Linked DNA regions of Saccharomyces cerevisiae S288C. The protein of the gene in region 2 binds, or shares a complex with, the protein of the main gene of each other region. Each region holds a gene or a part of one and is shown on either strand. Other genes may lie near its edges.

Region 1 (5,630 bases), on a different chromosome or scaffold from region 2:
CTTCTTTGGCAAATTCTGCATTAGCTTGATATTTAAACTTCACAAATCCACAGTTTTTGCTCTCAACGTATCGTATTCTATCAATATCACCCAATCGAGAAAATACAAATCGAATTCTGCTTTCTATCTGAGCTGGCTTCAAATGCTTGCTATTCAATGCTCCATCAATACCACCTACATACAATGTCTTGTTTTTCTTCCTAAATGAACCGATCCCGCCCATATCCTCTCTATAGTCAGCAAATTTTTCTCTACCAAAACAGTCCAATACCTCTGTCCTCAGGGCCAGTTTACCTATATCTTCTTCGTCTGGTATATGATGCAGATATTCACATTTAGGGCCAAGGCAACACATACCCTTTGCAAAAAATAGACAGAAGAACAACTGGCCATCATTATCGCCCCTAGTCTTCCCAGAATGAAGTTGCGGCTGCAAAGCAAATGGACTAACAAATCGTGTATTCCCCGCAAACCCTTGGGACCATTTATTATACCATATATTAAACGTCAATCCAGTCTGCGCCGGTATAGAGGAGGGCAGTTCTGACTCCTTCACTTGCACTTTCGCGGATTTATCCCTCCAAGATGTCATCCAAATTTCTATCAATGCGTATACTGTCTTACTAACGTCGTTACTACCTTAAGGCCCATCGCCAGTAGTCTTTATTATGATCCAGCCTTCAATACATAATGGAAAATTTCATCATTACCCGCATATGTACGTATGTAACGATGGAATGCTCAAAAACTGAAAAAAATTTTTCTGAAAAAAAGTGATGAGGAATAAAGAAAAGTAAAAAACGAATGCATGATATAGTAGTAGTAAATGGTCAATGGATCATTGGGTAGCAGAGAAACGGAAACAAGTGCAGTAAAAATGGGTAAAGACAACAAGGAACATAAGGAAAGCAAAGAAAGCAAAACCGTAGACAACTATGAGGCCAGAATGCCTGCTGTGTTGCCATTCGCTAAACCATTGGCCTCTAAGAAACTAAACAAGAAGGTCTTGAAGACCGTGAAGAAGGCTTCCAAGGCCAAGAATGTTAAAAGAGGTGTCAAGGAAGTTGTCAAGGCCTTAAGAAAGGGTGAAAAAGGTTTAGTCGTCATCGCCGGTGACATTTCTCCAGCTGATGTTATTTCCCACATCCCAGTCTTATGTGAAGATCACTCTGTCCCATACATCTTCATACCTTCAAAGCAAGACTTAGGTGCCGCTGGCGCTACAAAAAGACCTACCTCAGTTGTCTTTATCGTCCCAGGTAGCAATAAGAAAAAAGATGGAAAAAATAAAGAAGAAGAATACAAGGAATCTTTCAACGAAGTTGTCAAAGAAGTTCAAGCTTTATGAAAAAAGTTCGCTTCTTAACCATATTAGAAATCTAGAAGAAATAAAAAAAATCTGGCATTAGATATATATTTTGACTGTAGGCCTTCTGTATATTATATAATACTACTAATAACATCAAATGTTTGTGACTTTTCGGGTAACCGGGCTTCGTTCTACTGTTCCACTTTTTGTATGTTTAATGAAAATATCATCAAAGAAATAGGTATATAATTGATAACAAGAGAATCGCGGGCCGTTGCTACAGGATATTCTGCAGAGTCGAAGAATGAGATTTGTGTTCGATGAGGTTTTCAATTCAGATACTGATTCTCCAGAATTTGAGGAAACATGTTCTACAACATCTTCTACGTCATCGCAATGCCCTACACCTGAGCCGAGCCCAGCAATAAAGTTACCTTCATTCACGAAAGTTGGCACGAAGAAATTGGTAAATGAGTCGGTAGTTATTTTAGATCCTGCTCTAGAAAACGCCTTGCGCGATTTGAACCTTCAATCGAAACTGATCCCCATTAATGAGCCCATTGTAGCCGCGTCATCGATAATAGTACCGCATTCAACCAATATGCCACTACCGAGAGCATCGCATTCGTCATTGCTAGATAATGCTAAGAACTCAAATGCGACAGCACCCTTACTCGAGGCAATAGAAGAATCTTTTCAAAGGAAAATGCAAAACTTGGTGCTTGCCAATCAGAAAGAAATTCAATCTATTAGAGAAAATAAACGTCGTGTTGAAGAGCAACGTAAGCGAAAAGAGGAGGAAGAGCGCAAACGTAAGGAAGCTGAGGAAAAGGCCAAGCGGGAGCAGGAATTATTACGTCAAAAGAAGGATGAAGAAGAACGTAAACGCAAAGAAGCTGAAGCAAAGCTAGCGCAGCAGAAACAAGAAGAAGAAAGGAAGAAAATAGAAGAACAGAATGAAAAGGAAAGACAATTGAAAAAAGAACATGAAGCCAAATTATTGCAGCAGAAGGATAAATTGGGTAAAGCAGTTACAAACTTTGATAAAATCTCCAAAATGTTTTGGCATTATAAAGACAAAATTGCTCAAATAAAGCAAGACATAGTTCTGCCTATAAAAAAAGCTGATGTGAATGTAAGGAATTTGCTCTCACGTCATAAAAGGAAAATTAACCCGAAATTCGGACAATTAACTAATAGCAACCAGCAACTTTTTAAAATACAGAATGAACTAACTCAATTGATAAATGATACTAAAGGCGACTCTCTAGCATATCATTGGATTTTAAACTTTATTGCCAAAGCCGTAGTACATCAGGCGGAAACAGAAGTCAGGGTAAAACCAGAGTCTGCTCTGCCCCTAGGGAAATTGACTTTATATTTGTTAGTCCAATTCCCAGAGTTACAGGAATTGTTTATGGCAAGACTTGTCAAGAAATGCCCCTTTGTGATAGGATTCACGTGTGAGATTGACACAGAAAAAGGCCGTCAAAACATGGGATGGAAAAGAAACAACGAGAATAAATGGGAAGATAACACATCCTACGATGAGAGAATGGGCGGGATCTTATCATTATTTGCCATAATAACGAGATTACAGTTACCTCAAGAATTTATCACCACCACGAGTCATCCTTTCCCCATCGCATTATCGTGGCATATTTTGGCTAGAATATGTAATACGCCACTAAATTTAATAACAAATACCCATTTTGTCATACTCGGTTCGTGGTGGGATGCCGCTGCCGTACAGTTTCTTCAGGCGTATGGGAACCAAGCCTCTAAATTGCTAATCTTGATTGGTGAGGAATTGACCTCCAGAATGGCTGAAAAGAAATATGTGGGTGCTGCGAGATTAAGAATTTTATTAGAGGCCTGGCAAAATAATAATATGGAGTCCTTTCCGGAAATGTCTCCTTAGAAAATTCTGAACTTATATATGCACATTATGCTAATACACTTTATAATGACTTTATTTTAAACGTCGCCATTTTTAGTTTTATTTTCGGCTCGATATCAAGGGATGGCAGAAAATACGTCATGAATATTAAGCCGTAAGTGGGAAAAGTTAAGACAATCTCCCACTCAAATATACGTACGTGAAATTGACATTTGAACTACCGCTCATAATATCTTATTCGATCAAGCAGAATATTCATTCTTTTTCCGGCGCCTATCTCCTTACCTTTATTTGTAAATGCTACTCTTCATTTATCAAATTTTTTAAAGCAGATGCATAAACCTTTAAGATGGCTAATAACGATAGCCTTCTACGTTTCGAACGTTATATTAATAGGCTATTCCCTTTCTAGTAATGGCTCAATATCTGAATTTTATCTGCATTCTGTTGTACTTATTGAATGCTTCTCTTTACTAGGAGTGGTTACCTCTGACTGCTTAACACCATCTTTGTCATACATTTCCAGTAACATATTCCATATTTCCGATAGAGTATCCGGCATGACTTTATTAGCATTGGGGAATGCACTTCCTGATATTACTAGTACTTACCAGTCGATGAAATCTGGCGTGACTTCCTTGGCCATTGGTGAGTTATTTGGTGGCATATTTTTTCTGTTAACCGTTGTGATTGGACTAATGGGCTGCGTAGCCACTATTCAATTTCAACATGACAAGTCTATTGAAACTTACACAGAAGAAAGCTTTGACCAAAATTTATCGTATGATAGAAGCAATTATATATTGGATGTCGGAATATTCACTTTTATGCTCTTAGTTTCGGGCACTTTTCTAGCAGATGGAAGACTGTACTTTTGGGAGTGTATTGTCATGGTTTTAACCTACTGCTGTTGTGCTGTCTATTTAATAAAAAGCTACAAATATCCCTGCGAAATCAATGATGCTTTAGAAAGAGAGGTAGAAATAAAAAAAACTGTACTTGCAAATAATCATATCACTGTTCCAAATCGATTTACATTAACGACTACCAGTGACATTACATCCACAGACGATGGAATAAGATATGTAAGGCCTTTGGGGGATACACAGATTGATGAGGACAACGCTATTAGTTTAGATCCAACTCGTTTACCAAGTAAATCCCTGGATAACATTTCGAGATTTAATCAAGGTATACCTGAAAGAAGGGATTTAATAAGACGTAGAATACGGGGATATTTACGGTCGCATTATCATGGCTGGGTAAGAATGACGTTACAAGATCTTTTGAATATATGGGAGAAGCAGAATCTTTTTAACAATACAGTAAAATCGTTGTCTTTACCCTCCGATGATACTCATTTATTTACTAAAGCTTCTTTAGATGAAGAAGGGAGGCCTTTAATAAGAAAAAGGATGAATTCATTACAACCTAAGGATTTTTACAAATATTTGTCCCTACGGAATGGGGAAAATTCAAATGCGCTGGATACTGCAATCTCTGCTCCCCAAAACGAGTATCAAACTTACTATAATGAACCCACAAGTTTGTTTTTGACTGTGCCACAAAAAAAAACCTCCAAGAAATCATTAAGCTGCGATCGCATTCCAAACTTGGTCCGGAGTAATAATATTATATTAAATGACGAGGCTACACGTACACAGGAATCTACCAATGCCTTGAACAGCATATCAGATGTTATCGACAACTCTCTCTTACAGTATGAGAGAGATGATATAATTCTCGATAGAACACTATCTCTCTGTTCAACAAAGAGTAGAACCGCTTGGCATAGTTTCCAACTTTACAATTACTTAACAGATGTGTCCTTGGAAATTGGTTTCTTTGAGTTCTTGTCATTATTAGTCACTACGCCGGTATCAATAATTCTTTATCTTTCAATACCATCAGAGATAAGTCAAACAGACCATGACTTACCCCTTTCATACCTACAGAATATTCAATTGATTGCTTCGCCAATAATTCTCAACCAACTCATCACAAATAACTTTTCATTTTGGTTGCTCATCTTATCGCTGGTGATAGCCATCTTATTATATTTTAAAACTAGGACCATACCGAACAAGTTCAACTCTGATATAATCTTTACAGTAGCATTTTTATTGTCATTGGCCTGTCTTTCGAAAGCTGTCCACATAATTGTAGTCACGTTAACGCATTGGATAAATGTGTTTAATATATCGGAAACAATACTAGGTTTAACCATTTTTACATGGGGTAATTCGATTGGTGATTTAGTGTCAAATATTACATTCGTCAAAATAGGTGTTTTAGAAATCGCGATAGGAGCTTGTTTTGGCAGTCCACTTTTATATTTCTTATTTGGCGTCGGATTTGATGGAATTATGATAATGCTAGGCGACAAAACTGGAAAAATAGTGAGTGGCAGAGATAGTAATA
Region 2 (10,072 bases):
ACAGACGACAGAAAGACTGTTGCACCCAAGATCGATAAATTTGTTCTCCAGTCCAAGCCAATAATAAATATATTGCAACACCAATCCACATTCTTCATGGGTCAAGAACGCCCCGGAGGGGTTCAACCTCGACGAGATACTGTACGTGTTACGAATGGCTGTTAAATTTGCGTTACTGTTATAAAATAACACTAAAATAAGAAATGGAAAGTAAATAAATAGTAAAGGAAAGTCAAATAAAGCAATGAATGCTGCATTGATCTGCCTTTTATAGCTAAGAAAAAAAAAGAGAAAAAAATAATAAGTGCGGGTAACCTCATGCATTGTAAAACGGTAGGGCTACAAGGCACTACTTACTCTACGCTATAGAAGAAGCTTCAAGACATGGTGTTGTTCTTATTTGAGCGAACTCAGCTGTCACCGTTTCGGGAAACTCTATAGTTTTCTGCGTTTCAGTACGCAGTTGGGCGTGCTAAAGTTGTTTTCCTAATTTGCTAGTGTTCACTTGCTCATTGATGTCCCTAAAAGGTAATGTCGCATAGTAAGATGTATGTCCCATATCAAACGCATTCCTAGAAAAACATGCACTGAATGAATAAGCAGTTACTTCGATTACTAATCTTCACAGCATAATTTTTCTCTTATCTTGTAAACCTCTTTCTATCTTTTCATAAAGTTTGTCACTTATATTTCTTCATTGGTACATCAATGCCAGCAACGATGTGCGCATCTGGGCGACGCCTGTAGTGATTGTTTTCAAGGTATCGAGCCAAACTATTCATCGTTACTGTTTCAAATATTCAGTTGTTTCAGTACAGAGTCGCCGTGGACCTAGTGAAACTTGGTGTCTTTACAGCGCAGAGACGAGGGCTTATATGTATAAAAGCTGTCCTTGATTCTGGTGTAGTTTGAGGTGTCCTTCCTATATCTGTTTTTATATTCTATATAATGGATAATTACTACCATCACCTGCATCAAATTCCAGTAAATTCACATATTGGAGAAAATGAAATTCATTTCTACCTTTCTCACTTTTATTTTAGCGGCCGTTTCTGTCACTGCTAGTTCCGATGAAGATATCGCTCAGGTGCCAGCCGAGGCCATTATTGGATACTTGGATTTCGGAGGTGATCATGACATAGCTTTTTTACCATTCAGTAACGCTACCGCCAGTGGGCTATTGTTTATCAACACCACTATTGCTGAGGCGGCTGAAAAAGAGCAAAACACCACTTTGGCGAAAAGAGAGGCTGTTGCCGACGCTTGGCACTGGTTAAATTTGAGACCAGGCCAACCAATGTACAAGAGAGAGGCCAACGCTGATGCTTGGCACTGGTTGCAACTCAAGCCAGGCCAACCAATGTACTGAAAAATGACCCTAAACTACTTCTAAACCCTCTCGATTTCTTTCACGTTCATACAACACCTAGTTTTATTTATTTTCTTTTCAATCTGAGTAGTTGAGTTTTCGATCACTCACATAGAACTATTTTTTGCCATTTAAATAAAGTATTCTCTCAAATGATGCGATACTATAATACTCTTTGCCATATATTACATTCATTCATAAATAGGCTATGTTTCTATATCCGTTTCCGATTCTGTCTGCAAGCAAGGTTCCCTATCATTACCGGATTGTTCACTATGGTTGGAGCTCTTCTTTTCCCCTGCACTTGCATCAGTCTCAGATTCAGAACCAGAAATGTCTCCGTAATCTTCATCCGATCTTCCTGCTGATATTTGAATACCATTGTCTTCTAAAGACACTAAATGTTTTTGAACATCACTGCTACTATCAGATTCAAAACTTATTGATTGTGTGTCATCTCCAAAAGAGGTAATATCATCGTACTTTTCACTGAGTTTATCTTTAGCAGTAATAATTGGCCTTTTAGAAAGTCCGAAAAATTGAAAGTCATCAAAATCGTCGTCTTCCATTTTGATCACGGATTGATTAGATATTTTTCTATTAGCTCTCCTCCGACTTGTGTCTTTCAACTTCTTTTGTAAATTTTGAGGCTCTACTACCGTCTTTCTTCGTTTCATTCTTTTTCCTGGAGAGTTTAACTCAGAAATTGGCTTTTGCACTTCCGTATTAATAAGCGCAGAATCTAAAACATCATCGTCAGACAATTTGATATTATTTTGTCGCAGAATCTCATGAAGCTCTCTTATTTTCTTCTTCTTCTCATTCAACAAGGTTACCATCATTGCTCTGGTTCTTTCATCACGTGTTTCTAAAAGCTTATCCAATAGCTCCCTTTCCCGAGCCAGCTGTTCAACTCGATTTCTATTGCTAGAATCGCTCTCCTTTATATTCCGGTAAGAATCGTTAACACAACAGATATCTTTATAGAGTTTATCTGCCATTTCAAATAAATCAATCTCTCCCTTTTTGACTGGATGCAAGGTAAGTTCAGCGATTTTTCTTATGATCGCCGATGACTCCAACTCCATAACTACTTTCCATACCTCATCATCTTGCATTCTGCACGTCCATTTTGTGAATACGACTTTTTCGTCTAACGATGCAATGTACACTTTGTGACCAGTTAACATTTTGAGTAGTTCATACCACACATATTTCTTAGACTCTTCATCGATATTTTCTCCCGTAAAGATTCGCAAATCATTGATTCCAAAACTGCTTTTGGAAAAAATTCCTGTACCTTCACTTACCAACATTTTCTCTATTCTAAGCCCTGAAAGACTGTTCTCATCTAATGTTTCCAACATAGCGCCATCTTCAATCTGAATCTTACAGAGGCCACGCTCATCTTCTTCATTTTGTTCTTCATTAACCACAGGGATACAGCTAATGAACTCCGTCAGCTGGGACATAGCACCCTACATAAATAAGTCATCCAATGCACAATTCTCTCAGTTCTATGCATTGACACGTCGAAAACTGCCGTTCATCTTATTATTCTTTAATATGGCTTTTCAAAATACGCTTCCGGGTACTTTTTCGGATTCATTAATGGTGTAATTAGTAATGCGTAGAAATATTTTGTATATAATAATAAATAACATGTTTGTCCAACAACTCGTAGGCTAGGCTAAACGTGAAGTCTTTCTGTTTTTGAGAACAACAGTATACATAAGTGATATCCAAGAATGACTGAGATACTACCACATGTAAACGACGAAGTGCTACCAGCAGAGTATGAACTTAATCAGCCGGAACCAGAACACTGTCCTGGTCCAGAATCAGACATGGCAGGTAAGTCCGATGCTTGTGGTGGCTGCGCCAATAAAGAAATATGTGAAAGTCTTCCGAAAGGCCCTGATCCAGATATTCCATTGATCACAGATAACTTGTCAGGAATAGAACATAAAATATTGGTTTTATCAGGCAAAGGTGGCGTAGGCAAGTCGACATTTGCCGCAATGCTAAGTTGGGCACTTTCAGCTGACGAAGATTTACAAGTAGGTGCCATGGATTTAGATATATGTGGACCTTCTTTGCCACATATGTTAGGCTGCATTAAAGAAACCGTCCATGAATCGAACTCCGGTTGGACACCTGTCTATGTGACTGATAATTTAGCCACCATGTCTATTCAATATATGCTTCCAGAAGACGATTCCGCCATTATATGGAGGGGTTCAAAAAAGAATTTATTGATAAAAAAATTTTTAAAGGATGTTGATTGGGATAAACTCGATTACTTGGTAATCGACACACCGCCCGGAACATCTGATGAGCACATTTCAATAAACAAGTATATGAGAGAATCTGGCATAGATGGTGCCCTTGTGGTCACCACACCTCAGGAAGTAGCTTTATTAGATGTACGGAAAGAGATAGATTTCTGTAAGAAGGCTGGTATCAATATTCTTGGACTAGTGGAAAATATGAGCGGATTTGTATGTCCAAATTGCAAAGGAGAGTCCCAAATATTCAAGGCTACCACAGGTGGAGGTGAAGCACTTTGTAAGGAATTGGGCATCAAATTTTTGGGGTCTGTTCCGTTAGATCCGAGGATTGGCAAGAGTTGTGACATGGGTGAAAGTTTCCTGGATAACTATCCTGACAGCCCAGCTTCGAGTGCTGTACTTAACGTTGTGGAGGCTCTGCGAGATGCTGTGGGGGATGTATAGTATATTTTATCAAAAAGAATAAAAGGAAGTGCATTAGAGGTCAAATCGTTTTATAATATAAATATCATTACCTTTAAATCTTAGACCTACTGAAGAACACTTTTACCATATATAATGCTACTAATTACTCCAAAAGCGTTAGCTTCAGTCCATGTTTTACTATTTTTCTTTTTTTTAGAAATAAAAATAAAAAAACTTATATCTTATATGTACACTTCATTAAATCCTGGGCAAACTCACCCCTCAAGTATGCCTTTTCTGGCTGCCCTAGGGGGAGCTCAAGCAATTTGGCCTTCGAATCGCCTATTGAAGGATTGTTTTTCTCCAATATTTTTGATACAATCTCTTGGGACATAACATTACAACATGCGGCCACTTCACGACAGTGCTTATACTGATCATAAAATATCTTCATACCACTAATTAATGAATCGATAGTCTCCTGCGTTTCAACATTATCCAACACAAGCTTTAGATATACTTCAAATACGTTTATACTTACACTCCATTTGTCCCTCTCAGAGTCTGGAAATTCGTTAAGAATTTCCCTCAAAGTTTTCAGTTCATTATTCTGTACAGGATTGTTTGATAACAACAGCCTTGGTCCTAATGACGTAACAATAGCCATTTCTGCCAAATCATAAGACGAACCCAGGAGTAGATTTTGTACTTCAGAAAGGTAATTGCCTTCATATCTATCTTTCAAAGCTTGAGCATTGAATATCAATTGCGAAGGGATCTTTAATCTATTTAAAATGTGATCATTGGTAGAGGCTCTTAACAATGTTATTTCACGCATAACAAGCCTTTTTATGGTATCTTCTGCTGCCTTGTCATCATTTAAAAAGCAAGAAACAAAAAGAGAGTGGCCATGTAATTGTGCAAATTCAAGTTGAGCGGCAAATGCGAATGTAGCCTCATCGCTAGTTTCCTTCGAAAAAACGCGTGTTCCATTAAATCTCAATGTTTGAATCAAGTACCAGCAAAACTGAACATCTAAAGCGTTGGTTCTTTGTCTAACCTCCTTATAGAGCTTCTCCGTATTTTCATTAGCAGCATATAGTTGGAAAATAACTCCAATAGGATCATCATAGGGTAAAGAAAACTTGTCTAAATGCGATTGCACAAGAGATTCTAAGGAATACTCATCTATCTGGCCGTAGCACAGTGTCAAATTCAAAAGGCACAACCAACTGAATTCACTTTCAAGTTCCTTAAGAGAAAATAAACCTTCAAAAGGTGAACCGCTTAGTAATTTGTAAATCTTCGAGATATTCTTGTCGATACTACAACCACCAGTTGACCACTTTTGCAATTGTAATTCCGCTAAATCACGTATCCTTGGGTCGTTTGAACCCAAATAGGATATCAAAACGCTCAAATGACCATTCTTAGACTCAATTGCTAACTTGGATGCCCTTACGACATCATTCAAGAGCAAATATAGAAATATTTGTTCTATTTCGTTAGAAGAATTCCTAATTTTCTCTTCAATTTCCGGACCTATCTGGCTAACAATCCACGAAGTTAATCGACAATGCCTTTCTTTTTTTAATAATGCCATTTTTACTTGATCATTGTCCGTCTTGTATGGATAGGAAACGGGGTCGAATAAAATAGATGAAAGTTTCCATAGATTGTAATCACTAGAGGTTTTTTCCATATAATCTAAAGCATCTTTAAAGAGTAAAGAGCTTTCACTAATTTGTGGGTATGGGTTTGACTTCCTTGCTTCGATAGTAACCTTTTCAATTTCTTTATCTAAATAGACGTCATCGAATAAAAATTTTCTTTGCAACTCAGTTGGTAAACGCTTAATTGAAACGCCCGATTTACCAACAATATCTTTTGTCAGTAGCATTGAACCTGTTGAAAATTTTGCAAACGTATAAGAGGCTGTAAATCTTCTTTCCTTCATGATGAGTTTTGCGTTATCAATTTCATCATTGCATTCGGAAAAGAGTAAATCTATTTCATTTTGACATGGCCCGTCAAATTCTTTAGAAGTGGCAAACACAGAACGTAGTGAAGACCCAGCTAAAATTAATTGTTCTACCCAATCCTTAGAAACGTCAAGTTTAGGGGAAGCTTCAATTCCCTCAAAGTCCGCATCAGACAAATCAGGTTCGTATGCCTTTTCCTCAACGATAGAGTCGTCTTTACCTGATAGAGTTCCAAAAGTGCCATCTGTTTTGAGGATAACCTCTTTATCCGATGGTTTTGATTGCGCTAACGTGCGCACCTTTCTTAATGGTTGCTCACCGCCGTCTTCTTGTTTACTCAAATCGTCTTCATCTATTTCCGCATCTTCTTCATTGACTAACCCCCAAATGCTAAAATGATTGACTTTGAAAGTCCAAGTCCCGCCAAAGGGATTATAGGATATATAGTTCATTTCCCTCATGCTTCTTAGTTTCCTGTCAAAAACTTGAAATTCAGCAAACTTCGTCGTATCTTTCATCGGTTTTTTTGTTTTTTTATCTACAGGATAAACATTCTCTAGAGTGATTATAGCGGGAACGTTTAACCCATGCCCAATCATTGGTTTGGTGGCTTCGTCAGGATATACTTCTACTGTCTTAGAGGAACGAAATATTACAATTTTACCGAATAGTTCTTCTCTAAAGCTTTTGGTAAAAGCTGTGAGATCCACATCATGTTGAAATGTAATACAACCATAACCTCTTCTCCCGATAACAAAATTTGAAACGGCCGCTAATTGCTTCAATGACAAACGCTCCAGCTGTTCTGGGGAAGGAGAACACCAATAACCAAAACTTGATGACTTTTCATGTTGTAAAGTATTTTCGCCGTCTTGTTTATTCAAGTTATTCGATTGCTCCTTTCCATTCAAATAAGTGTTATCCAAATTATTATCTCTATTTTCTTTCCTGTCAATGTTAGTGACACTATCAGCATTTGCAATTGGCTCATTTTCCGATGAATCTTGTTCGTCTTGCATATGTTTTTTTGTGATGGCGGGAGTACCAGAGAGGAGTTTTAATTTTTTTGCAGCACTTCTGTTGGAATCAATTTTCAATTTACGCAGCTCTGTCAAGTCGGCCCTTTGGGAGGATAGGAAATTAAAACCATTCTGAGGAAAGATGCTGTTTTCATTTGGAGCCAAAGAAGTCATCTTTGAAGAAAAAAAGTCATCTACTAAGGGAGCTGAACCTGCTCCATTCAGCCACGGTTTACTGTAAGACGGTGAAAATATTTCATTCGGTGACGTGCTTTTCTGAGTGGCTTTCAGTCTCGTGCTTAGTCTACTCACTAAACTTGACTGTGAGGCGAGTGGTAAAGGAGCGTTCCCTGAAACTGAGGAAGAAAACGAATATGTTCTTCTATTTTCAATTGGTTTGGGTTCCGCATCTGACTTGCCATTCACATCTGATAGAGAAGACGTAATAGATCTTGGCATGTCAGCCACTGCCATAGGAACATTACTTATGTTAATTCCATATGGGTTGGTTGACATGGTTCCAGTAGTTTCACCGGATCTTGGGAATGAAGCACCATTATTTCCAAACAATCCCCCAGTTGTTGAAGCTCCCGGCTTTTGACCAAAAATACCTGTAGAACTTTGTGTATTATTTGATCCAAATAATCCTGTCGTTGAGTTTGTCGATGAGGAATTTCCAAACAGGCCGCCAGCACCAGCAGGGGTTGTAGTAGGCTTACCGAACAGACCACCATTTTGCGTGGTAGAAGTTATATTGTTATTGTTGCTATTACCAAACAAACCACCATTTTGGGTACTAGAGGCTATATTATTGCTACCACTGAATAAACCTGTAGAGCCCGTAGAATTTGCTGTGGCATTATTATTTCCGAATAAGCTTCCGGCACTTTTAGAAGTAGTATTGTTTGTAGCGCCAAATAAGCCACCTGATGGTTGTGCTGGTTTATTTCCAAATAATGAATTATTGGCGGGTTGTTGACTTATAGAATTAGCGTTTGAATTGGCATTGAATAATCCACCAGATGGGCTAGGTGTTGAAGTATTCGCATTAACATTAACGTTCCCAAATAACCCAGTAGATTTTTGAGGGAATTGAAGGGAACTGGAAGGCTGTGCCGGAGTGGATGTCGGTGTGGATGTGTTTTGGTTTCCAAAGGTGAAACCACTATTTACACTTTTATTAAACATAAGGTGGCTACTGCTTCTCCTTTGCTTGTGGTTCTAAAAAGCAATAATAATTGTGATAGGTAACAGGAAACAACAAACGAGTTAATTCTTTCTAATTTTTTATCTTTCCAATGGTGATGTGATTGTTGTTTTTGTCCAAAATTTTTTCGAGCTTTTCTTCAAATTGTTTGAACTTTCCTGCCGGCGGGGCAGTTAAAAATCTTTCGTCAAAAACTAAAAAAAAGTGATGAGATATTACTAGTCATCGTTGTCCTATTATAAACACTTTACGTAAACTCTAAATGTATTCTACTTTTCGTAAATGAAGGAAGAACTCCACTGATCTTGTGGGTTATCCTGTCAGAGAGGACTTCCCGTGACGGTGAGTAATCTTGTTGAGTACTTATGTGAACTTTCATTGGAATTTGCCCATTTTCCGAGAATACGCCCTGAGCAAATGAGACAAGGGATATAACGTAAAAAAATGCAGTCTTGTTTCTTCTATCATAATCCTTGAACTGCAAAAGCGCTTCCTCTTCCTCAGTTTGAGTAATTTTCACCGGAAACAAGAGCTTTAGTAATTTTATATACTTCAATAATGGTCTCCACTTTTTCATAGCAAAAAAAAGGTTCGAAAGCATGCTATCTTGATGTTCGGCTTCAACATTCTTCAACAACATTGTGAATAAGTGGTAACTCATATCGTCATTATTGCTGTCATTCATAACTTTCATAGAACTTAACGGATTATTTTTAAAGTTTGCTAGATTAATATCCACTCTCAAATCATCCAGTTGAAGAAATGCAATTGAAAGTGTTGCCTTTGAGAATTTCAGAAAGCGTACCCCCGTTAATGACTCCAAAATTTTGAGAGTATCTCGTAATTTTGGCAAGTCAAACCGTGTGAACAGTTTTCGTTTTTCAATTTTCTTGTCTATAGAGGCGACTTCACTTCTTAAAGTTAGTATATCATTAGATTTTTTTGCAATAGCTAATTTAAGTGAACGCATTTCTTGGGTAAAATCATTGGAAGAACTCAACGATATGGAATGTTCCATTAACTCTTGTTTGAAAGCCTCAATTTTTATTCTATTCATTAAAGTAGGCTTATAAGAATCGGATGGTAAGTTTTTTAGGGACCTTATCTCTTCCTTTATTGCTTCATTAAGTTTTCGTATTTTGCCTCTGATGCTGTTAACTTTTTCAACTTCTTCGTTTAATTTTTCGTACTCCCTTTTCAAGGTATTCAAATTTTCTGCCAAAATTAATTCCAGACCATTTAGTTGCTTTTTCCTCCATTCATACCATTCCATTGCTGCCTCCAATTTCGAATATCCTTTGACCAACTGTAGCTGGTCCCTCATCAATTGCTTCATTTTCTCATCCGAGGAAAAATACTCCTGGAGCAGAAGAGGGGGATGGGATTTATCAATTTGGGCCTCAAAGTCCTTGAATTTATCCTTGGATTCATTAATACTTCTCCAAAGCTCCTTGCATCTGAATGCTTCCACTTCTAAAATGGGTATATCGATATAGAAGGCAGAAAATACGTTATCTATCCTTTGATTCTCCACAAAATTAAAGCTGTTAAGCGGGAAATTGACCTTCTTGTCGAGATCATCTATCAGTTTGGTATCTAAAAACCCTACCCCCACTTCATTTATAAATTCCCGCAAAGTGTAGTCTTGAGTAGGCAGGGCTATACCAGACTGCCCTTCCTTGTCTATTTCGGGGAGTCTTGTTTTCTCAACTATTTTGTTCCCGTTATCATCGACATTTTCCCCATCTTCTTCATCGTCTGTCGCGGTTTGCATGCCAGTATCCTCAGTACCGGGTTCA
Region 3 (6,845 bases), on a different chromosome or scaffold from region 2:
ATTATCAAGCTCGCCACTAAAGGTGTCTGGATCCTTACTCAATACAAAGTCCAAGGAAAGGTGTGCCACAGGAAGAGGTAGCATCCCTTTATTTCTTTTCAAGGAAAGAAGCATTTTCAATCACATATGTATACAATAGTCTTCCGTGTGGCTGCACCGCACCACCTTGCAGGTCCCGTGTATGTAGGAGTCGCATGCGAATAAAAAATTGAGAAAGATCATGGGGTTTTTTGTTCACGCGGGCCGCAGTTGTGGCTCCTCTGTCACTTTTTTGCCCTCTGCTAAGGGCAAAAAAGAAAAAAAAACGCAACGAGAAAATTAAAAGTGTGGCATTTCGACATCTATCGCCATTCGTGCGGCCATTTCTCGAAACAACGCTAAACTTTTGTTTCGACTGTGAGGCCCTAGAACAGTTCGATTCTGATGTAGGCAATGGAAGAAACAATCATATATAACTACAGAACCTAATGTTACATGCTTGCATCTCTCAGCTCCCGCGAATTTTCAAGTGAGACTTAATGGTAGCCATCTAGTAACTCATAAATCAACGACATTATATATCATCAACTACAATGCAGGCAAACCATTCCGTCAGTTACCTTTACGAATCAAGTACTTCAAAGAGGTCAAATGGGCTCTTTTCTCAAACACAAAAGCAAGGAAGTTTTCAAAAAGCTTTAAGTCAAACTCAGGAAGAAATAGAAGATGAAGACCTGATGGTAGACCTCAACACAGGATCTTTAACTCCCGTTAAGTTAAAATATTGGACTCAAATGAGTGCTATGACGGAAAAATTTGGTAAACTGTGAGACCAATTTTGGCGGTAATTTCGTTTAGCTGTTTTATTTTCACATTTTTAATTGTCAATGCTGGAGGTTGTTAAAGTTTGGCTAGCTGTTCTGAACAATCCTTGTATACCGGTGAGACTTTTTGTTATAGATATTGGCGATATTCATTTTTTAGGAAGGTGTTTTTATAGATTTTTCAATTTTTTTTGTGTAGATGCATGTTTTGATTACTTATGCATAGTACGAATTTTTAGTTTATTAAGCTATAGAGGTTTTTTTTTTTTTCACCTCTTTACCACAAATTTAATAGCTATTGTGTAGAATAACTTTTAATGGAAAACATTTGCAGTATTTTAGTATTTTTCTACCTGTTTATTGCAAGTAAGGGCAGCATTATCCTGATAGGAGTAGAGGTTAACCGCACATCGGAATGAGACTTCTCCAAGAACGTTCTCAAAGTAAAACATTTAGCATTAGGAAATTTCTTTGGTCGATTATTAGACAAAGATTAGATTGTATTATGTTCTGATGCTTAGTTAGAACGGAAAGTGTTACCCATCTTGCAATCACCGTGACACCTTAAATATTTGCCGTAAGCGAAGAAAAAAAGCATGAAAAAAAAAAGCATATTTATGCTGAAGTCATCTACAAATGACCACCGCTTTTGGACCTGAAGAGGAGAAGAAAATAACATATCGTAGAACAGTCTTTGTTAACCAAAATATTTTAGCTTTGATTCCGGACTATTAGTACATTGAATTTTTTCAGGTACTAACAATGTTTGGCAACAATAGACCAATGTTTGGAGGGAGCAACCTTTCCTTTGGATCAAATACGTCATCCTTCGGTGGGCAACAATCGCAACAACCAAACTCTCTTTTTGGAAATAGCAATAACAACAACAATTCCACCAGTAACAATGCCCAATCAGGATTTGGTGGATTCACTTCTGCCGCTGGCAGTAATAGTAACAGTTTATTTGGAAATAACAATACTCAAAATAATGGGGCATTTGGCCAGTCAATGGGTGCCACCCAAAACTCACCATTTGGGTCGTTAAACTCCTCAAATGCCAGTAATGGGAACACTTTTGGAGGATCCAGTTCAATGGGTTCTTTTGGTGGTAATACCAATAATGCATTTAATAATAACAGTAACAGTACCAATTCCCCGTTTGGTTTCAATAAACCGAATACAGGAGGGACCTTGTTTGGTTCGCAGAATAATAATAGTGCAGGTACTTCTAGTTTATTTGGCGGCCAAAGTACAAGTACCACTGGCACATTCGGAAACACCGGAAGTAGTTTCGGAACAGGCTTAAATGGCAACGGCTCTAACATATTTGGGGCAGGGAACAACTCACAAAGCAATACTACCGGCAGCTTGTTTGGCAACCAACAATCTTCAGCGTTTGGGACAAATAATCAACAAGGAAGTCTATTTGGACAGCAATCTCAAAACACCAATAATGCGTTTGGTAATCAAAATCAGCTGGGGGGCAGTTCCTTCGGATCAAAACCAGTTGGTTCAGGGTCGCTGTTTGGCCAGAGCAACAACACTTTAGGTAATACAACCAATAATAGAAATGGATTGTTTGGTCAAATGAATTCCAGTAACCAAGGCAGTTCTAACAGTGGATTGTTTGGACAAAACTCGATGAACAGCAGCACTCAAGGGGTATTTGGACAAAACAATAATCAAATGCAAATTAATGGCAATAACAACAACAGTTTATTTGGAAAGGCAAACACCTTTTCAAATTCCGCATCAGGAGGTTTATTTGGCCAAAATAATCAACAGCAAGGGTCCGGGCTGTTTGGTCAAAATTCTCAGACAAGCGGTAGTAGTGGACTTTTTGGGCAGAATAATCAGAAACAGCCCAATACTTTTACCCAATCTAATACAGGAATAGGTCTCTTTGGACAGAACAACAACCAGCAACAACAATCTACAGGTTTGTTTGGAGCCAAACCAGCAGGTACCACAGGATCTCTTTTCGGTGGTAATTCATCAACCCAGCCTAACTCTCTTTTCGGTACTACCAATGTACCTACCTCTAATACACAGTCACAACAAGGAAATAGTCTTTTTGGTGCCACGAAGCTGACCAACATGCCCTTTGGAGGAAATCCCACTGCAAACCAGTCAGGGAGTGGAAACAGTCTATTCGGAACTAAACCTGCCTCCACTACCGGCTCATTATTTGGAAACAACACAGCTTCTACGACAGTACCTTCCACGAATGGATTGTTTGGTAACAACGCTAACAATTCAACTAGCACTACGAATACGGGACTTTTCGGTGCAAAGCCTGATTCTCAGTCCAAACCTGCATTAGGGGGAGGGTTATTCGGCAATTCAAACTCGAATTCTTCCACAATCGGCCAAAACAAACCAGTTTTTGGAGGCACAACCCAAAATACAGGACTCTTTGGCGCCACCGGCACGAACTCTTCAGCAGTTGGTTCAACTGGTAAACTTTTTGGCCAGAATAATAATACGCTTAATGTTGGTACACAAAATGTACCACCTGTGAACAATACCACCCAAAACGCCCTTTTGGGTACAACGGCAGTTCCTTCCCTACAACAAGCCCCAGTAACTAATGAACAGCTTTTTTCCAAAATATCAATCCCTAACTCTATTACAAATCCAGTTAAAGCAACAACTTCAAAAGTGAACGCAGATATGAAAAGAAATAGTAGCCTCACGTCTGCCTATAGACTTGCCCCAAAGCCGTTATTTGCTCCCTCTTCGAATGGCGATGCTAAATTTCAAAAGTGGGGCAAGACACTGGAAAGAAGTGATAGAGGAAGCAGTACCAGCAATTCTATTACGGACCCAGAATCAAGCTATCTAAATTCAAACGACTTGTTGTTTGATCCAGATAGAAGATATTTGAAACATCTGGTGATTAAAAATAATAAGAACTTAAATGTCATTAACCATAATGATGATGAAGCAAGCAAAGTTAAATTAGTGACGTTTACAACAGAATCAGCTTCAAAAGATGACCAAGCCTCATCAAGCATTGCTGCTTCAAAATTAACTGAAAAAGCACATTCTCCTCAGACTGACCTAAAAGATGATCATGATGAAAGCACTCCTGATCCTCAATCGAAATCTCCAAATGGTTCCACCTCTATACCAATGATTGAGAATGAAAAGATTAGCAGCAAAGTTCCCGGCCTATTGAGCAACGACGTTACCTTTTTCAAGAATAACTACTACATTTCACCTTCCATAGAAACGCTTGGCAATAAGTCATTAATTGAACTTCGTAAAATAAACAACCTAGTCATTGGTCACAGAAATTATGGTAAAGTCGAGTTTCTGGAGCCCGTTGATTTGTTGAATACTCCTTTGGATACTTTATGCGGGGATCTTGTCACCTTTGGACCAAAATCATGTTCAATATATGAAAACTGTTCCATAAAGCCAGAAAAGGGCGAAGGCATTAATGTACGTTGTAGAGTGACTTTATATTCCTGTTTTCCTATTGACAAAGAAACAAGGAAACCTATAAAGAATATAACACATCCTCTACTGAAAAGAAGTATAGCCAAACTAAAAGAAAACCCAGTGTACAAGTTTGAAAGCTATGACCCCGTAACAGGCACCTATAGTTACACCATAGATCACCCAGTTTTAACTTAAACCGGAATAATTTTTGTAGAGAATCCTTGTATCGTCTAAGTAGTCTAGATGTTCAGCTGATAGATTTTCGTTGTATTGTATATATAATAATTGTCGGAAAACAAAAATACTTAATTGTAATTGTGTGACCGAAAATGCCTGATCAACAGCCATGGCACATTTGAATGGGATTTTGAGGAGACAAAAATGAAGAGGTTCTATAACCTTTGTAGAAGAACATTGACCTCTTTTCAATGAAGGTTGGTGGCATCGCCAGATGCAGAAAGGTTGTCTCATGAAATAAAAACGGACAGACCATGAAGGCTAAAGGAAAAAAATAAAATGCCATCTCCTAGAATCGAACCAGGGTTTCATCGGCCACAACGATGTGTACTAACCACTATACTAAGATGGCAAACAACTGTGAAGTTTTTGGTTACATCTGCACATCTGGTTGAATAAATATTATGTACTCTTTGCTTTTTTATGTTAAACCTACAAGTGGTGACTGTAAAGAAGCATTACAACGTAGAACTGATAAAGGGGAGAAATATGTGAGTTGTTAGATAATTGTTGGGATTCCATTGCTGCTAAAGGCTATAATATTGGTATACAGAATATACTAGAAGTTCTCCTCGAGGATATAGGAATCCACAAAAGGGAATCGATAGTTCTACATAATGTTATTATTTTATCTTCCTTCCTTTTATATGTTGTCATTCATTATCCTATTACATTATCAATCCTTGCATTTCAGCTTCCATTAGATCGGATGACTGTTTCTCAATCTTTATGTCATCTTCTCACACCGCATGTGATAATATAATATTAAATAGATGATATTAGAGTTCAATTCCAACAAAAGGGGAGTAGTTACATAAGCTTTCCGTAATGGTGAATTTATAGCAGTTTCCTTCTCGATGAAAGGAAGGGAAAGAATTAAATATACTCGAATGCTTGTACCACTCCATTTCCCCATTTATCACATTTAAAGTTACGAGTAAAAAAGTGACCGATATAGAATGTCTGATGAAAGAGCAAATGAAAGAAACATCAAGAAAGCATATTGAAATTAGCAAGTGAAAGCAAAAAAAGTAGATGAGTAAGCATTATAATGCGTCCAGTCTGACTTTTTTGTTGGAATAAAAATCAACTATCATCTACTAACTAGTATTTACGTTGCTAGTATATTATCATATACGGTGTTAGAAGCTGGCGCAAATGATGAGAAATAGTCATCTAAATTAGTGGAAGCTGAAACGCAAGGATTGATAATGTAATAGGATCAATGAATGTTAACATATAAAACGATGATAATAATATTTATAGAATTGTGTAGAATTACAGATTCCCTTTTATGGATTCCTAAATCCTTGAGGAGAACTTCTAGTATATCTACATACCTAATATTATAGCCTTAATCACAATGGAATCCCAACAATTACATCAGAATCCACTGAGTCTTCATTTTTTCCTATTTTTTGAATTAATTTTTGTTCGTATCCATTGGGCTGGCGAGCAAGTCCATCAAATAAAAAGGCGCGTAATTCGCTTCGTTTCGTGTCTTCGAAAATGAAGACCAGTTTTCCTCCTTAAAAGTACTTTAATTCGGAGAGCCGATTATATAAAGTGAAAGACTTAGTACTTCGTTAGCTCATATCGTTTTCTTATTTTGAAATAGGTTATCTATAGAATACTTTATCAAGTTATCAGGTTCTTTCCGGAAAAACATCTCATAAATCATCCCTGGAAAAATGTCTAGTCAAACAGAAAGAACTTTTATTGCGGTAAAACCAGATGGTGTCCAGAGGGGCTTAGTATCTCAAATTCTATCTCGTTTTGAAAAAAAAGGTTACAAACTAGTTGCTATTAAATTAGTTAAAGCGGATGATAAATTACTAGAGCAACATTACGCAGAGCATGTTGGTAAACCATTTTTCCCAAAGATGGTATCCTTTATGAAGTCTGGTCCCATTTTGGCCACGGTCTGGGAGGGAAAAGATGTGGTTAGACAAGGAAGAACTATTCTTGGTGCTACTAATCCTTTGGGCAGTGCACCAGGTACCATTAGAGGTGATTTCGGTATTGACCTAGGCAGAAACGTCTGTCACGGCAGTGATTCTGTTGATAGCGCTGAACGTGAAATCAATTTGTGGTTTAAGAAGGAAGAGTTAGTTGATTGGGAATCTAATCAAGCTAAGTGGATTTATGAATGAATAACTTATGGCATGGGAGGGTACATATGAGCGCCTTTTTTTTCTCGCTTTGGGCAGCTCATATCATGTTCCCTCACTAGCTAATAATATAATGAATTTTTTAGAAGGAGCACGATTATATAAAAAAAATACCACTTATGTTGCTACCCTTATATACGAATTTATAATACTTAATGACGCTTCAATGACGCCTGATGTCAAATGC

Evidence for each region.
Region 1: NUP145 (region 2) and GLE1 share a complex: the UniProt entries of both Saccharomyces cerevisiae proteins name them as parts of the nuclear pore complex.
Region 3: NUP145 (region 2) and NUP100 share a complex: the UniProt entries of both Saccharomyces cerevisiae proteins name them as parts of the nuclear pore complex.

The regions. Positions count from the first base shown.
Region 1 is NC_001136.10:86,635-92,264, forward strand, and holds GLE1 (nucleoporin GLE1), read left to right. Parts: upstream 1-1,613; coding exon 1,614-3,230; downstream 3,231-5,630. Other genes in the region: active spliceosome conformation promoter CWC2, read right to left, coding at 1-592; snoRNA-binding protein NHP2, read left to right, coding at 878-1,348; YCX1 (Ycx1p), read left to right, coding at 3,542-5,630. UniProt on the Saccharomyces cerevisiae protein: Functions as a component of the nuclear pore complex (NPC).
Region 2 is NC_001139.9:336,088-346,159, reverse strand, and holds NUP145 (nucleocytoplasmic transporter NUP145), read right to left. Parts: upstream 8,255-10,072; coding exon 4,301-8,254; downstream 1-4,300. Other genes in the region: YGL088W (uncharacterized protein), read right to left, coding at 1-324; MF(ALPHA)2 (Mf(Alpha)2p), read left to right, coding at 1,007-1,369; LIF1 (Lif1p), read right to left, coding at 1,576-2,841; NBP35 (Fe-S cluster-binding ATPase), read left to right, coding at 3,118-4,104; kinetochore-microtubule binding complex subunit SPC105, read right to left, coding at 8,521-10,072. UniProt on the Saccharomyces cerevisiae protein: Functions as a component of the nuclear pore complex (NPC).
Region 3 is NC_001143.9:308,634-315,478, forward strand, and holds NUP100 (FG-nucleoporin NUP100), read left to right. Parts: upstream 1-1,565; coding exon 1,566-4,445; downstream 4,446-6,845. Other genes in the region: YKL068W-A (uncharacterized protein), read left to right, coding at 573-809; YNK1 (nucleoside diphosphate kinase), read left to right, coding at 6,179-6,640. UniProt on the Saccharomyces cerevisiae protein: Functions as a component of the nuclear pore complex (NPC).